Linked DNA regions of Struthio camelus. Each later gene encodes a partner of the first gene's protein in a complex. Links are inferred from orthologs where the notes say so. Each region holds a gene or a part of one and is shown in the gene's direction. Other genes may lie near its edges.

Region 1 (7,075 bases):
CAAATACTCTCAAACAAATGCTGCCTTTGCCTTGAGAAAATGGCCTAAAGAGCCCCCCAGTCACAGTAAGCCCAGCAGCTGCTCTGCTCCCAGATCGCCACCCATAAACACAAGGTGGGCACTCTCTCCCAAGCAAGACACTAGGTTCCAGGATCACCAACATGTGAATCAGAGCACAGGTGCAGATACTGACTCATTGCAGCACTCCAGGGCAATTACCAAGGGTGAGACTGAGTCTCCCTGAAAAGGTAAGGCTCAAATACAAAACACACTACTTCTCCTTATGTGAAAAATCAATACAGTACAGCCATAGTATGAGTGGTTTTAGTGGCTGAATCAAAGACTTAGATCCTTTCCTACAACACAACCTTTGAGGAATAGTGAATTCACTTTCCACATTTTTTTTAGTATGTCTGTTTTCCAGTATGTCTGTTACTGTATAACAGCATTTGACTACACATATATATTTATTGTGATATTCTTTTGAGTTGAGTTGAGTTGAGTTTTAACTGAGTCTGAACCTTTTTGGTAAGTCATGAGTAATACTACTTTTATGAAATAAAATAAAATGGCATTACCTATCTGACAACAGAAACCGATTCCATTTTGCACATTAACATACTTCAGTGCAAAAGTCCACAAACCATGAGGCCTTTCATATTACCCAATCTATCATAGAATGAAGGCATGCATACACATGGTCAGCAGATCATGCAAGGCAGCTATATTAGCTCCCTAATTGCTTTCTCCCACGTTCAAGAAAAATATCCTTTTCCTTTCTGCAAAATCAGGGGCTTTTTTTTTTTTTTTTTTAAATATTTGCCATCTCCCATAGCTGGTAGCTAGGTAAGCTGGATCAATAGTCCAGGATGATACAGAAAATCATTGCCCTTATTAGTTGAAAGCTGCAGGAAAAGAGGAATATTATCCTCTTTACACTTGTAGAGGAAAAAAGGCTTTCACAGTACACAGGTGATGAGAGGGGCCTAGAAGTGTGAAAACATCCCTTACCATAGTTTTCTTCCAAACTTAATAATCCTCAATAACTATTATTCCCTGCAGGACAGTAATAATAATTTGCTAGACCACAGATCTACTCTTCCAAAAGCCACGCCCTCCATTTCAAAATCTAACAGAGGTTCCTGCCTGTTCCTTATTTTACACGCTGAAATAAGATACTGCAGGCAGCCTGCAAAATATTTAACAAACACTCTGGTCTGAATACCCCATTCCCTGCTATACCAAAAGGAGATCTCACAGTCCACAAAAGGACTAAGTATGCATGCTAAACATAGCTTGCAAGAAAGCAGAAGTTAGAGCTCAAGCCCTATAAATTGAAATTCAGAGAGATCTTCTTTCAAATAAGTGGGACAGACTGCATGTTTATGGCTTAAATGATACGCTGTTGGGCTTTTGTCCTCTACAAAATTCCAATTTCCTCTCAGGTATTGGTTAAATTCCTATAGTAATAAGAAACTCAGACTCACAGCAAACTGTCCCCTGGGTCTACCCTCTCTAAGAGAGAGTCTACATAGTTAGTACTGAACTACCATTGTGCAAGTCTTTATGCAGTGCTGGAGACATTTTGCTATTCCAAGCCACAGCATGATCTATAAACACACTGGAAAGTGGATGCTGCTGCCTAGGGTACACAAGGAACAAATAAGCAGCCTCTTCTACCTCAAAGTAAGCTGCTGGGAAAGGCAATTATTCCCTGCTTGCCTGTGATTGATCAGCTTCCTGTATATGGATGTGCAAGCTTTCATGTATTACCTACTTGGTCACTGGCACACAGCTGCAAAGCAAAGGGCTTTTTAATGGGATTTTTTTCTGGGAAGGGTATTAAAATAGTGTGGATACAATTTACATTACAAATAATGTCACTTTGCAATCTTCTTCTGTAAGTAAGACAGCACCCATGCAGGTGAAAGTTCCTGGGGAATAGCATGGGGTGTGGAAAGTGGCTTTCAACCCTTCTATGCCTTGTGCTCCATTTTTAAATAATATGCACAAAGGGCAGAAGCCTGTGCAACCAAGGCAGAGTAAGGCTTTAAGTAACATAATTTTAATATTCATAACGTTTTAACTTCTTAAGTGATTATTTATGAAATCTTTTATTACATCAGGATAACAGGCTTAGAAAAAAGTATGATAATCCAAAACTTACCCTTTTTCCTCCAGTGCAAATATTTTAGAGTTATATTCAGAAGCCATCCTCACAGCTGGGCTGATACGATCTGCCAGTCCCTACAAAGTATCAAATAGTAATTAAATCCAGTGTTTATGGATGACAATTGTTAAAGGAATTAATTTGTTGCAGAAATAACAATAATATACTAAAGTTTCAGCCTGAAATGCACTCTTCTTAGCAATACATTGCATGGGCTTAGGGCCCTACCAAGTTCAACTAAGCGTCTATTAAGACAACGTGGTTTTTCTCATACCGAAATTATTACAAAATCATATACCCATTCCATTAGGTTAAAGATTGCTATATAGGCTTTTCACTAGGGTATCTGACAGTCTAAGAGCCCCCTGATAGGAGAAGAAAAGGGACACGCTGATGTTCTTTCATTCTCCCAAAAGCGTCTCAGATTGCCTATGGTCAGTTCTTCTTTAACACAAAGAAATTTTGTCCTGGTCATCCTCTTAGGTACAAGAAGGGGTATTCTGCAAGTAAGGGAATACCATAAACTGCAATCCCTAAATTACATTGTACAAGGGACTGTACATCAGTATCTGCTACACATATCTCTCTACTGGTTCTTCTTATAGAGGAACCTCTCGTTACTTTAAGTCATTTAAAAAATAAATATATGTTAAAAAATTAAAACTACGGAACAAATGTTACAAAACTTTTTCTTAATTGGATAAATCACCTTACACATGATTCTGAACCCCTCAGCATCCCACACTGGAGCCTGGGAAGACAGGAGGGTATAAAGGTTATAAGACAATGCCTATGTGCACCACTGCCCTCTGCTGAAAGAAATCAGTCTTACTCATATGTTTGTGACCGATTAACTTCTATTAGTAGCGGCTGACATGAAGCAAAGACGACATAAGCAACAGCTAAGGGAAATTCCCATTTAAGCTCCATAGGCCTGTGGTTTAGGACAGAAGGATGTTAATTCTATTGTCTGTGCAACGTAGCTGTGTAAACAGCATTTGAGATGTTTGCATATGCCCTGGACAGTGATCTTCATTACCATGTATTTGTACTGCAATAACATCTCCAGGCCCTGCAGAGATTAGACCTCACTGCTCTTATGTACATAGAGTTAAGATCCAACGCTGCACCTGAACAGTACCATCTTAGCAGCAGAAGACAAGACAGACAAAGATAGGTGATTTTAGACCCCCAAGACTGGCAAAACACCATCTATGAAATATAAGTTAGTTTTGGACTAGCACGATACCAACAGAAAAGCCATATGGAGCCCCCTTGGAGAACCTGAGCCCAAAACATTTGAAACAACTTTTAACAGAAACACAAAGAAAAACAACATCTTTCACTCTAGCATCTATGCTAGATGGTAGCTTTCTATGATGACTGTTAATTTTCTAAGGACAGGCACAGAACCTGTAGAAACAAGTATCACAGGCTCCTGAAACCCCTTCAAACTTACAGAGCAGTAGCTTCATACATCACACTGCCATATTCTTCTGTACAAGGGAAAACACCTCTCCTAGAGGTGGCTAAGACAGCAGTATGCCAGAGAGCCAAGCCTATACCTATCCAGCAACAAGGCACCATAACACAGAGCCCTGAGGGCAAGAAAGGCAGGGGTCAAAGTTCACCACAGGCTAAGCAGAGCTGGTCTTCACCCAGCCCCCGGTGAAGGCAAGGAGGTGCGGGCCTACAGCTAAACCCGCGCCTCTAGCCCGAGAAGCAACAAAACATTTCACCCACCCTTCGCCTCGCTAACGGCTGCTATACCACAACCAACGCACGCGCCCGCGGCCGCCGCCATTAGGTGGCGCGAGAAGCCCCGCCCCGCCCCACCAACGGCGGGAGTTGTAGTTTTCTTTTCCGCGCCTCCGCGCCCCGCTCCCGCGCGCCGGACTACATTTCCCAGGGGGCGCTGCGGGAGCGGCTCAGCCGAGAGCGAAGCAAAATGGCGGCGGCCGCAGCGCGAGGGTGCGAGCGGGTCTGGTGCTGGGCGTCGCGACGCGGTGCAGCGGGTGTTGCTGCTCCCGCCGCCGCTCGGGCGAGAGGCAGAGCGGCGCCGGCGGGGCAGAGCGGGTACGGTGCCGGGACAGCGCGGGGGAGGTTTCCACTGGGACGTCTTGCCCTCAGCGCGGAGCTGGGCAGCGGCCGTTTGGGGCCTGCAGGGTCGGTTACTGTGTCACGAGCACGTCGTGGGGCGGGAACGGCCGCGGCCCGTTTTGAATGCCCCCTTCTGAAGAGAACGAGGCTTGGGGGTACCTGGCAGCCTGTTCTCAGCGCACGTTTATCTTCGCCTTCCTCCCCCCCCCCCCCCCCAACTTGGTAAAATGCTAGTAGTGTGTTCGCAGTGTGACTGTGTGCCTTTGGCATGTTTGTCTCTGAGAAGAGTCCTGAACAGCGCAAGCAACTTAAAAACTGTTAGTGTTCATGTGTAAGAAATATAAACAGTGCTTGCACCAAGGACTGTGCAAATGCTCATAAATATTTTTCAGGAGGGCTTCTGGTCTAAGGGAAACTTTCCTATCTAGCAGAGAAATGTGCAACTTTGACAACACTGCCTAGAACTGAGCACTTTATTCCTACTGCAGTTGAAAAGAGTTATGGCCTGTGCCAAGCTTTCATGTTTTCTGTTTGTCAAGATTCAAGTTTCCCTGCACAATTGATCACCCAAGTAAAGTTGTGTAGACACCAGCAGAAGTATGTTTCTTTAGATTGATTCCCTGGAGACACAAATAAAAATAAACCTTGAGCAAACATGGCAAGAAACTCTAGGATTCTCATCAGCTTGCAAGTGAAGTCTGATGCAATTTTTAAAACCAGGATGTGAAGGAGATGCTTTTCTAAGGAATGTAGGAAAAGATGGGAGAAAAATAAGATATTGCAAAAATAAAAAAAATCCTCTTCTAAATTCTAAGATACCTTTATAAGTAACTGAAAATATTTGAAAAAATAACAGGATTTGCAAGCTGAGCATTGCACTAAGCAAAATTAAATACGAATTAATCCAATGTGTTTTATTGTCACTCTTAACTAAGATCAGAAATCAAAATATTAAATAGGTGGTTTAAATATATGCTGCCTTGCTCTAGTGCTAAAAAGAGACACAGCAAACAGAAAGTTGTGCAAGAACTTATGGGTTGATTGCTTTCCTAACTTCTTGAGTGCTTTTATTGTCGATGAAGTGCTATAACACTTACATCATACTTGTTTCAAATTTAGTTTACTATTTGGAGAAGTATGCGTTTTTTTACATTGGTCAGAATTGTTTCAGGCCTATTGCAGAGAAAAAAACACCGAGTTTATGTTTCCTTTTACACTTCAAAGTTTTTTTTTCCTGTCATAAAAGTAGATACTTATTGCTTTTTATAATGAAAACTTATATTCCAAGTTGAAAGATATATTTTTTTTTTGCCTGGTCCACATTTATCTTGTCTAAGAAAGCATCCATATGCTTTGTAGTGAATTGATAAGCAGCTTGTCTTTGCGAAATTAGACCGCAGTCCTGCAAAAACTTGCGTTTGTAGACTACTGTGTTTATGTGAGGTGTCCAACTTATTAATACATATGGTAATACATGGTTTGTTTAATTGAAAGCGCTGGAATCGGGATTGGATCCTTAGGATCCATAGTCTGAAACATAGCTAAAGAGCTTTTGTTTTTTGTTTTAATAAAAAATGTAAAAGCTCATTTAAACATCTGAAATTTACTCCTTTATGATAATATCCTTCTTCCTAAAGGAGCAATGTATATCTGCATCACTAGTTTGGTTTTTGTAGGGATGTCCTTAGCTGTTGGAGGACAGACACAGAACTAAAATCCTGGCAGTGTATTACGTTCACCTTTGGAAGGAACACTATTCGTGATATATTTGTTCAATGCTTCTCCATAGCTCACTTATCTGCTATAGCTATCTGGGTACTTATATTGCTGAAGTATCCTGTCAGAGAAATGTGATTTCATCACTGAAATATTATTTGTGCCACTTCATTTGTACAAGGCCAGATAATTACTTGCAGAAACTGTCAAGCAATTCATACCGTAAAGGTGACCCTTTTCTCTTGTCCATATAAAGGTTATGGATGTGAAAATTGCAATTGCTTTTTCGATGATATGGAGAAGCTTTATTCTCTTCAGTATGTTCAGAGAGCAGTAGCTCTCTAGTTGAAATGATGATTTCTCTATTACCAGATTACTAATGTTTATGCTAATATGCTACTAACGTTGCTCTGGAGAGCCGCCTTTCCCAGCATGCAAGCAACTAGCTGACGAGAATATATAATTTATACCACCTGTCTGTTGGAGATTTATCAAACTGCGTGAGAAGTAATTGGTATTTATGATGATTTTATGATTTCCATGGAGTACCAAGTTGGGGTTCATCAAGTATGCAAGTTGCCTCATTGAGTTCTGTAAGATTCCTCATGTAGGGAAGAGTTAAAAGTTTCAGACCATTATGTTTTATTACAGCATTCTCTCCAGTATATAGCAAAGTCACTTGACCGCATATTTTCCCTCTGTATACATGGTGGATTAGTCTCTGGTCTCCAGTCCTGTAGCGCAACTTTTGCCATTGAACGGTAGATGGATTTACAACCAAATTTGCAATGATTTTTAATAATTACGATTTTTTTGTTGTTGTTAAAAAGGAAGAGGTTTAACTGTTGTATCTTTCAGGTATTTATGGATGTTAACATGTTATTTGTGCTTTAACTGTATTTCCCTTTTCCTTTTCAGTCTTGCTCCCTGGGTACCAGTTGTGGGTCTGGAAATTCATGCGCAAATTAGTTCAAATTCAAAACTCTTTTCTGGTTCCCAAGTCCAGTTTGCAGCACCTCCTAACTCCTTGGTATCTTTCTTTGATGCTTCTTTACCAGGAACCTTACCAGTAAGTTATGTTTCAGTTTA
Region 2 (7,998 bases), on another chromosome or scaffold:
GGAAGCTCTTGACCTTCGTGGTTGCTCTTCCTGGAGTTGGTGTCTGCATGCTGAACTGCTACTTAAAAGGACAGCACGAGCATGAAAGACCCGAGTTTATTCCTTATGCTCACCTCCGGATCAGGACCAAGGTATGTTCCAGTGCTCTGTTCAAAGACCTTCTTATTTCCTGTGACTGCAGAGCTTCATCTGAGGTTACTACAGCTTCTGTGGCTTTCTTACCTACAAAGTGAGGTGCTGCATACATAGGCATGATTTTAACTTTGTTTCTGAGACAGCAACGGAGGGTCTCACAGCTGAGCTGAAGTACCCATCGCCTTTGCAGGTCTAGAACTAGCCTTTTGCTTCCCCAGAGTAATCCTGCTGGGGCGTCACTGAAAACGCTTCAGCCACAGAGCTGCTTTAGTTACCTTACACAAATACAGAGGCTAATAGAGCTGATCCTATGATCCCAGATTCCCAAAACAAGGGTCCTGACAGTATTGATCTTTGATGTCCTGGCAATGACCTTATTGTCTAGAGACAGCTGTCACCAGCTAACGGAGACTGTTTTCCACCTTGCTCTTTGTACAACCTGGAAAGCAGATGTTAGCTTGCTTATTTCACCAGCCTTTCAAGCTGGGAGATGTTTGAGTCTATTTCCTGCTGCAAGAGTTAATCTCCTGTGCTGTAGTAGAGCCTTCCATTAGCTGCCAATGGCGTATTTTCTTTCTTCTTTCAACAGCCTTTCCCCTGGGGTGATGGGAACAAAAGTCTATTCCACAATCCCCATGTTAATGCTCTCCCAACTGGTTATGAAGACGAAAACTAAGATCTTGACCATAGCCACAACTTTGGCTCCTTCTGCATTTGGACCAGAATGTTGTATGGGAACCATCGTTTAAGAAACTCTGCATTCCTTCTACTATCAAGTCGAATGGTGTCGCGACCTCTGTTATGTGCTTGCGTAGAGGTCCTTTAAATAAAAACTCCTAACTTGAATTCAGGATCTGACTTTTTTTTGTTAGTCTGTGAATCCTTAGAAGTTTATTCTGCTTAAAACGGTGACACTCCCCCACAAGCAATAGCGCAGTAGCAAAGGGCTTTGAATGACTGAGTGTTACACCTGCTGCTGTACCTGATAATACTGATGTTAGCAATCAATATGTTTGTCATGAGTATGAAAGCAAATAATGCATGATGCCTGGTCTACCTGATCACTGTAAACACATAGCTCACATTAAAATGAACAGTTTTTAGGCTAACACTCTAGATTAAAATTCAGTGTATACTGAAGCAAATTCTGTGTAATCAACTACAGCAATAAAAAAAAATGTTATTAACACAGTCATCAAGGCAACTGTCTCTCACCCAGCGTGTTCTGAGACAGGAGGCGGCGGCAGTCAAAGGTGTGTAATTAAGCTCTGTGCAATTTCACAGTATTAATCTCTAGCTCTGGAGTTTCCTCGTATGCTATAAGCAGTGCACATAAGTTACTCACAGCTTTACAAAGAGCATAGTTGTGGTTTAATTGTACAAAAGTCTCTCTTACGGCCTTTGCAAATGAAAACACACTTTTTGCTCCACTGCATCTTTGTAATATGCACTGTGTCACTGAGAAGCAACTCGGCTCTGCAGGTTAAAGTTTAACGTTTCAAGGAGAGACTATAACTTTATTTTCCAAAGTCAGTAGCCAAGTCTAAAGCTCTCTGCCTGTCCCAATACAGCATTAATTTTGAAGAGTTTCCTCTCAACAAGTCAACTGTTTTCCTATTCCCTCTGCAACTTCCATATTCTTTTGCATGGCAGAACGCAGAGAGAACTTATGTCTTAGCTGTAATTATTATCATAATTTTTCCCCAAGGAAGACTACCACAGCTGACTTGGCATCCTGCTGCTGAAAGGAGTGATGGAGAGTAAATGAGCTAAATGTAAGAAGCTCTAAAGTGGGCACCGCAGGACACCTTTTCCCATGTTTCAGTATAATTTATTTCATCTACGTAGCTCAACAGAACACTACAGTAGGATGACTTTAAAATTCTTCTGTATTAAAAGCACAGAACAAGGCACTAATGGGCTTAGTTTTTTGTAAAGTTAACTGCCCAAATAACAGTACATTTATTCCTGTATGAAAATGATTACGGAAAAGTGAAGTGGTTGTATAGGTTACTCCTTTAAAAAAAAGTTTCACACTTGACAGTCCCCAAAACGCTATTTAGAATAGAATATAGAATAAAATAGAATATTATTCTAATAGAATAGAATGTTCCCCTAGCATATTTCCCATAAGAGAAAGCTAATTTTATTTATACCTGAGTGACCCAGCAATTTTTAAGTGTCACAGAACAAGCTGTTAAGTGCTTCATATAATCACTGTACAGCCTATTGAGCTACCTGCCTAACGCACCTGAGAAGGGAGTGTGCTGAAACCAGACTATAGAGCAGACAGCACGCAACAGCTGCTATGTTTAGGCCATCGCTGAAGGCACAGGGAACGAAGGCCCCACTATGCTGCAGTTTCTGATATGCAGCACAAATCCTAAGCTAATTTTAAGCATGTGAAATCGTTACTTAGGACCTGCAGCGCAGACAAGCCAGCTACTGTGTTTGAGAACTGCAAATGAATTATTTTGTGTGATTTTTTTTTGTTTGTTTTAAAGTAAAGGCTTTGAACCATGTCTCAGGTAGTCCTTAAAAAGCTAAGAATGAAGCTCATCTTTTTTCCAACAGAATTACAAAGCTGACTTCTCTCTTTTATTCCCAGCTCAGAATGATTTTTTTTAACTCCCTCACCTGTACTGGTGTTCTAGGAGAGGACAGCTTTAGCCCGTCCCTATATGAGGATCAGTGGAGATCTCCCCTGCCACAAGGCTCTGAGGGCTCCTGGATGAGACAGGGTGGGTCCCGGTCTGGATCCCTCACCCCTCTTCCGAACACCTTCATTTTCCTAGTACCTGCAAGGAGGAGCGAAGCTCTGTCATTGAATGTCTCGGGACAGAGGAATTAGAAAACGGATTTGGAGAGAAGAAAAGGCTAGTTCCTGATGACTTCTTCACAACCACGTAAGGAAACACCTGTCATCAGGAACCTTCCATTCTTTCCAGAGAGAAGCCTCCTCAGCCCTTCTACTGCCATTCAAAGGCAGACAATTTCAGGCAACTGTTTTAGGAAAACCAAAAACCAGTGTCATTGTCGTGTTACACAAAGGAGTTAATGTACCTACACCACGTTCAGCTGGGATATCTGATGAGTTAGCCGGCCATCTCACCCTTTCACAGTCACTGCCACTACAGAATTAATAACTTAATCTGTTTCTGTAGTTTACGAGACAGCATATTGAGACAAAGAGGTAACAATTTTAATTTGCTTTACTAGGTGCGAACTACACGTGGTTCGGGAGCAGCTTTGCGAGCAGGTGAGGCGGCCCCAAGAGGCAGGACAGGCAGCTGGAGCTTTAACCATATCAGCTGCCAAGCTTCAATCCAATGTTGCCCTCATTCAATACACGCTTCCAGCTACCCCGAGCAAAAGTGTAACAATGATCATGGCCAACCCGGGGCTTGGTGGGAGAGCGTGTAGAACGACGGCCAGGTCTGCGCTGCAGTTTTCCTGCAGGGACAGACAACATGAAAGGAAAGAAAATTCAAGTTGCAGATTGTTTCAGTACCTCGGAAAAGGCTGGGGAGTACCCTCCACAATCAAAGGCTCCTCTTCAGCAGGCTGTCTCTGCTGAAGATATCTCTATCTCTTTGAGGTCATACTCAGATTCTACTGGACAGCTATCTACTAGAACAAAATATAGCCTGGTTATCAATATTTATTTTAGCTAGGATATTGCACACGGAGCATAAGTGCTTTTATAACATCTCTGGCATCGATACAAAGCAACGTGGTAGCCCCTCAGCATCCAGGATATCAACCAAGCCCCTTTCTCCACAAGTCAGCAGCACAGAGATGAGACAAAGTAAACCAATCGCCTTCATGCTCTTTTTAAATGTTCTGACGTGTTATATAAATAAGCAAGAGAAATCGGTTACAGATCAGTAACTCAACCCATCCTAACAGGCATTCTCCCATTACAGAGTACATTCACATAGGAAGTTAGTTAAAAAGGCTTTTCACAGTTAGATGCTGAGTCACCACCAACATTCATCGAAAAGGGGGCAGTAATTACCACGTGATCCGGGGTGGTGGTGGTGGTGTTTTTACAAGCAGAGCAGAGTACTTGCTTCCTAAAAGGCTACACAGAGAAAGCAGCTTAACAAAGGCCTTTTCCAGGTGGCATCTAGTCTTTTTGTGTGGTTAGGTTCCTTAGTCCAAAGGCTCATGTTAGTGACTCCACGGGAAGAGCTGAAGTCAAGAGGAGTTCTCCGTTTTCCCTTTGCTTGGGCCCATGAATTCCAGGCCTTCAATGGGTATGTCCTTCTCCTTGATTGCTTTCTGGGGAGAAGAAAAACAAACACGCACCTTTACCGCGCTAAATGATGTGTTGTCTGGGACAAAGCAAGACCTAAGGATTAGTAGGCTGGGACGGCTCGGGACAAAGCTGTAATACTAAAGGTGCTCGAAGAGGCGCGGGGAAGCAGCGCTGGGCTGCGACCTCGAGCCCGCCGCAGGAAGGGGCGGCGAGCGCCGCGCTAACCGGCGCGGACGAGCCTCGCCAGGAGGACAGGGACGGCCGGCACCGGCTGCGGAGGGGACGGGAGGGAGGCGCCGGGCCGGGCGCGCACCTGCACGCAGAGCTGGTAGCGGCGGAAGAGCTGCCCGCAGGGGTCGGCGGCGCGCTCGCCCTTGAGGAAGGTCTCGGCGAACCAGCGGTTGAAGCACTGGTCGTACTCGCGCTTCAGCTCCGTGCAGGCCTCGCCCACGCTGTTCATGATGGCGGCGGCACCCCGCGACCCCCCCGCCCCCCGCCGCCGTCGTGACGCGCTTCCCGCGCGCCGCAAGTGCCGCCGGGTGACGCGGCGCGGGCGCTTCCGGCGGCGGCGATGCGGGCGCTGCGCGCGCTGCGGCTGCTGCGGGCGGGGCCGGGGCCGAGGGCGGCGCACGGCGGCGGCGCGCGGGAGGGGCGGCGGCTCCCGCAGGTACGGCGGCGCGCGAGGCGCCGGGGCGCGCGGGGCGGGGCGGGGCCCCCGGCACCGGCACAGCTGCTGTCCCCCGGCACAGCCCCGGCACCCGGGACAGCCCGGCCCCGACACCCGGGACAGCCCGGCCCCGGCACCCGGGACAGCCCGGCCCCGGCACCCGGCACTGATGCCATCCCCAGACAGCCGCTGTCCCCGACACCCTGGGACAGCCCGGCCCCGACACCCGGCACTGATGCCATCCCCAACACCCGGGACAGCCCGGCCCCGACACCCGGCACTGATGCCATCCCCGACACCCAGGACAGCCCGGCCCCGACACCCGGCACTGATGCCATCCCCGACACCCAGGACAGCCCGGCCCCGACACCCGGCACTGATGCCATCCCCGACACCCAGGACAGCCCGGCCCCGACACCCGGCACTGATGCCATCCCCAGACAGCCGCTGTCCCCGACACCCGGGACAGCCCGGCCCCGGCACTGATGCCATCCCCAGACAGCCGCTGTCCCCGACACCCGGGACAGCCCAGCCCCGACACCCAGCACTGATGCCATCCCCGACACCCAGGACAGCCCGGCCCCGGCACCCGGCACTGATGCCATCCCCGACACCCGGGACAGCCCGGCCCCGGCACCCGGCACTGATGCCATCCCCAGACAGCCGCTGTCCCCGACACCCGGGACAGCCCGGCCCCGACACCCGGGACAGCCCGGCCCCGGCACTGATGCCATCCCCAGACAGCCGCTGTCCCCGACACCCGGGACAGCCCAGCCCCGACACCCAGCACTGATGCCATCCCCGACACCCAGGACAGCCCGGCCCCGGCACCCGGCACTGATGCCATCCCCAGACAGCCGCTGTCCCCGACACCCGGGACAGCCCAGCCCCAACACCCGGCACTGATGCCATCCCCGACACCCGGGACAGCCCGGCCCCAGCACCCATCACTGATGCCATCCCCAGACAGCCGCTGTCCCCGACACCCTGGGACAGCCCAGCCCTGACACCCGGCACTGATGCCATCCCCGACACCCGGGACAGCCCGGCCCCAGCACCCGGCACTGATGCCATCCCCAGACAGCCGCTGTCCCCGACACCCCGGGACAGCCCGGCCCCGACACCCGGCACTGATGCCATCCCCAGACAGCCGCTGTCCCCGACACCCTGGGACAGCCCGGCCCCGACACCCGGCACTGATGCCATCCCCGACACCCGGGACAGCCCGGCCCCGACACCCGGCACTGATGCCATCCCCAGACAGCCGCTGTCCCCGACACCCGGGACAGCCCGTCCTCAGTTCGCAGAGCTGGAATCGGCGTGTCCGCACTCACGGCACCCTGCAGACAGATCCATTTACCTCGTGTGTGCAGGGTGCCGACAGCTCCCTGGTTGCTGCGACACACGCAGGTAGATCTTCAGTGGCTGTGGAGTGTCACAGCTGCGCTGAAGTCCACAGGAACAGCTCTTTGTCGCAGTCGGGAGGCGAGCCCTGTGCGACGAGGCTCTGGGCTTGTGGAGAGGAGAACCAGCTGCAGCACGCAGGCCTGGAGCCCCCTCGCCAGCTCTCCCCCACGGCTCTCCGAATTAGCTTTACAAGTGCCAGTTCTTCCGCTTGTCCTCTGCTACACAGACAGTGACGGGGAGAAGGAGGAAGGACTGGCTTGATTAAAGTCAATTTTCCATTCTGATCTGTGACTTCATCAGAAAGGGAAAGGAATAAAAGAAATCAAGATGTTCTAACAGAAGTAAACTCAGTTATTTTCTAAACAAGAAAAGCTTGTTCCATAGCAAAGATGTTAGCGACAGTATCTGGAACTGACTCATCTTTGCCCGTTTTTCCATCCGTCTGTGGCAGCCTATTCCCAGGATCCAAGCAAGGGACTGTGTCTTTTCTTACAGGAAACAGTAACGGTGGCCGTGCTGGATCACTTGGAGCACCTAGCGCTCGTTGATTTCCGCAACGCAGAGGGCGTAGAGCGGCTGCAGAAAGCAATCCAGTTTGCTGATCAGCTTCATGAGGTAAACACAGAGGGAATACAACCAATGGATTCAGTACTAGAAGACAGGTGAGGAATCACTGTTAGTGGCCTGCTTTGAACTATTCATTTGTCAAAGTATTTGCTCTGAAAACTTTTTTCCAGAAATATCCTAGCTATACATTTGGCCCCTTTGCTTACAGAAAGCCTTTAATGCGGTGGTGTGCGGAAGAAAGAGGCCAGATTAGTGCCCACAAGCTTAACACGTTAGCACAGCAAAGATGCACTCCAATCCTTTAGCGCTGTCTTGCTATTTATCCTGAAGGACCTGCACGTGCTGTTCCCCCAGTGTCTGGCAACAGCTTTTGAAGTTGCTTCAAAGTGTCCTAGTACTTGTTGGTCTGCTTGCTTGAGACTGAAAACAGCTTTAGAGATACTCAATGCTTTGTACTTTAGTAACAACCTAACAGGGCATGTTTAGCTCAGCTTTTTACAAAGTTGTGCTGCCAGTAATCCTACATGCAAACATGCAGTCCTACATGTACGTCCTCTGACGTACTTGCCTCTGTATGGCCAGCTCCATACTAAAGCTACCACCAAGTCAAGAGGCGTGGGATGTTTTCAAGGTTTCACTGTCGGTTTAGTGATTGTTTAGGTATATTCAAAGCCTGACAGACTAAGTTTTTCTGACAGGAACAAGGCTGCGACTGTTCACTCATTTGCCAGTCGTCTTTAAGGAAGAACTTCTTAACATGTCAACAGCTTATTGAACAGAAACATTAAAAGATAATGGAGATGTGAAAAAAAAAACAGATCCATGGTGCTTGCACGCAACTTCTGTGCTAGCCTTTGTACTTTGTAGTTTAAAGACAGGCTACTACTCTTTGTTCTTCAGGTGTCTGTATCTCAGAGAAGATGATGTTACAGAAGGCAACTGCACAAAGGAGCTGCTGAAA

Evidence for each region.
Region 2: GATB (region 1) and GATC share a complex: the UniProt entries of both Homo sapiens proteins name them as parts of the heterotrimeric GatCAB amidotransferase (AdT) complex. The link is inferred for Struthio camelus from reciprocal best matches to the Homo sapiens genes GATB and GATC.

What each region holds. Positions count from the first base shown.
Region 1 is NC_090945.1:38,014,208-38,021,282, reverse strand, and holds the start of GATB (glutamyl-tRNA(Gln) amidotransferase subunit B, mitochondrial), read left to right. Parts: upstream 1-4,059; 5' UTR 4,060-4,118; coding exon 4,119-4,246; intron 4,247-6,904; coding exon 6,905-7,055; intron 7,056-7,075. UniProt on the Homo sapiens protein: Allows the formation of correctly charged Gln-tRNA(Gln) through the transamidation of misacylated Glu-tRNA(Gln) in the mitochondria. The reaction takes place in the presence of glutamine and ATP through an activated gamma-phospho-Glu-tRNA(Gln).
Region 2 is NC_090958.1:7,928,218-7,936,215, forward strand, and holds the start of GATC (glutamyl-tRNA(Gln) amidotransferase subunit C, mitochondrial), read left to right. Parts: upstream 1-4,967; coding exon 4,968-5,063; intron 5,064-6,965; coding exon 6,966-7,132; intron 7,133-7,937; coding exon 7,938-7,998. Other genes in the region: COX6A1 (cytochrome c oxidase subunit 6A1, mitochondrial), read left to right, coding at 1-131, 725-811; TRIAP1 (TP53-regulated inhibitor of apoptosis 1), read right to left, coding at 4,336-4,419, 4,710-4,856. UniProt on the Homo sapiens protein: Allows the formation of correctly charged Gln-tRNA(Gln) through the transamidation of misacylated Glu-tRNA(Gln) in the mitochondria. The reaction takes place in the presence of glutamine and ATP through an activated gamma-phospho-Glu-tRNA(Gln).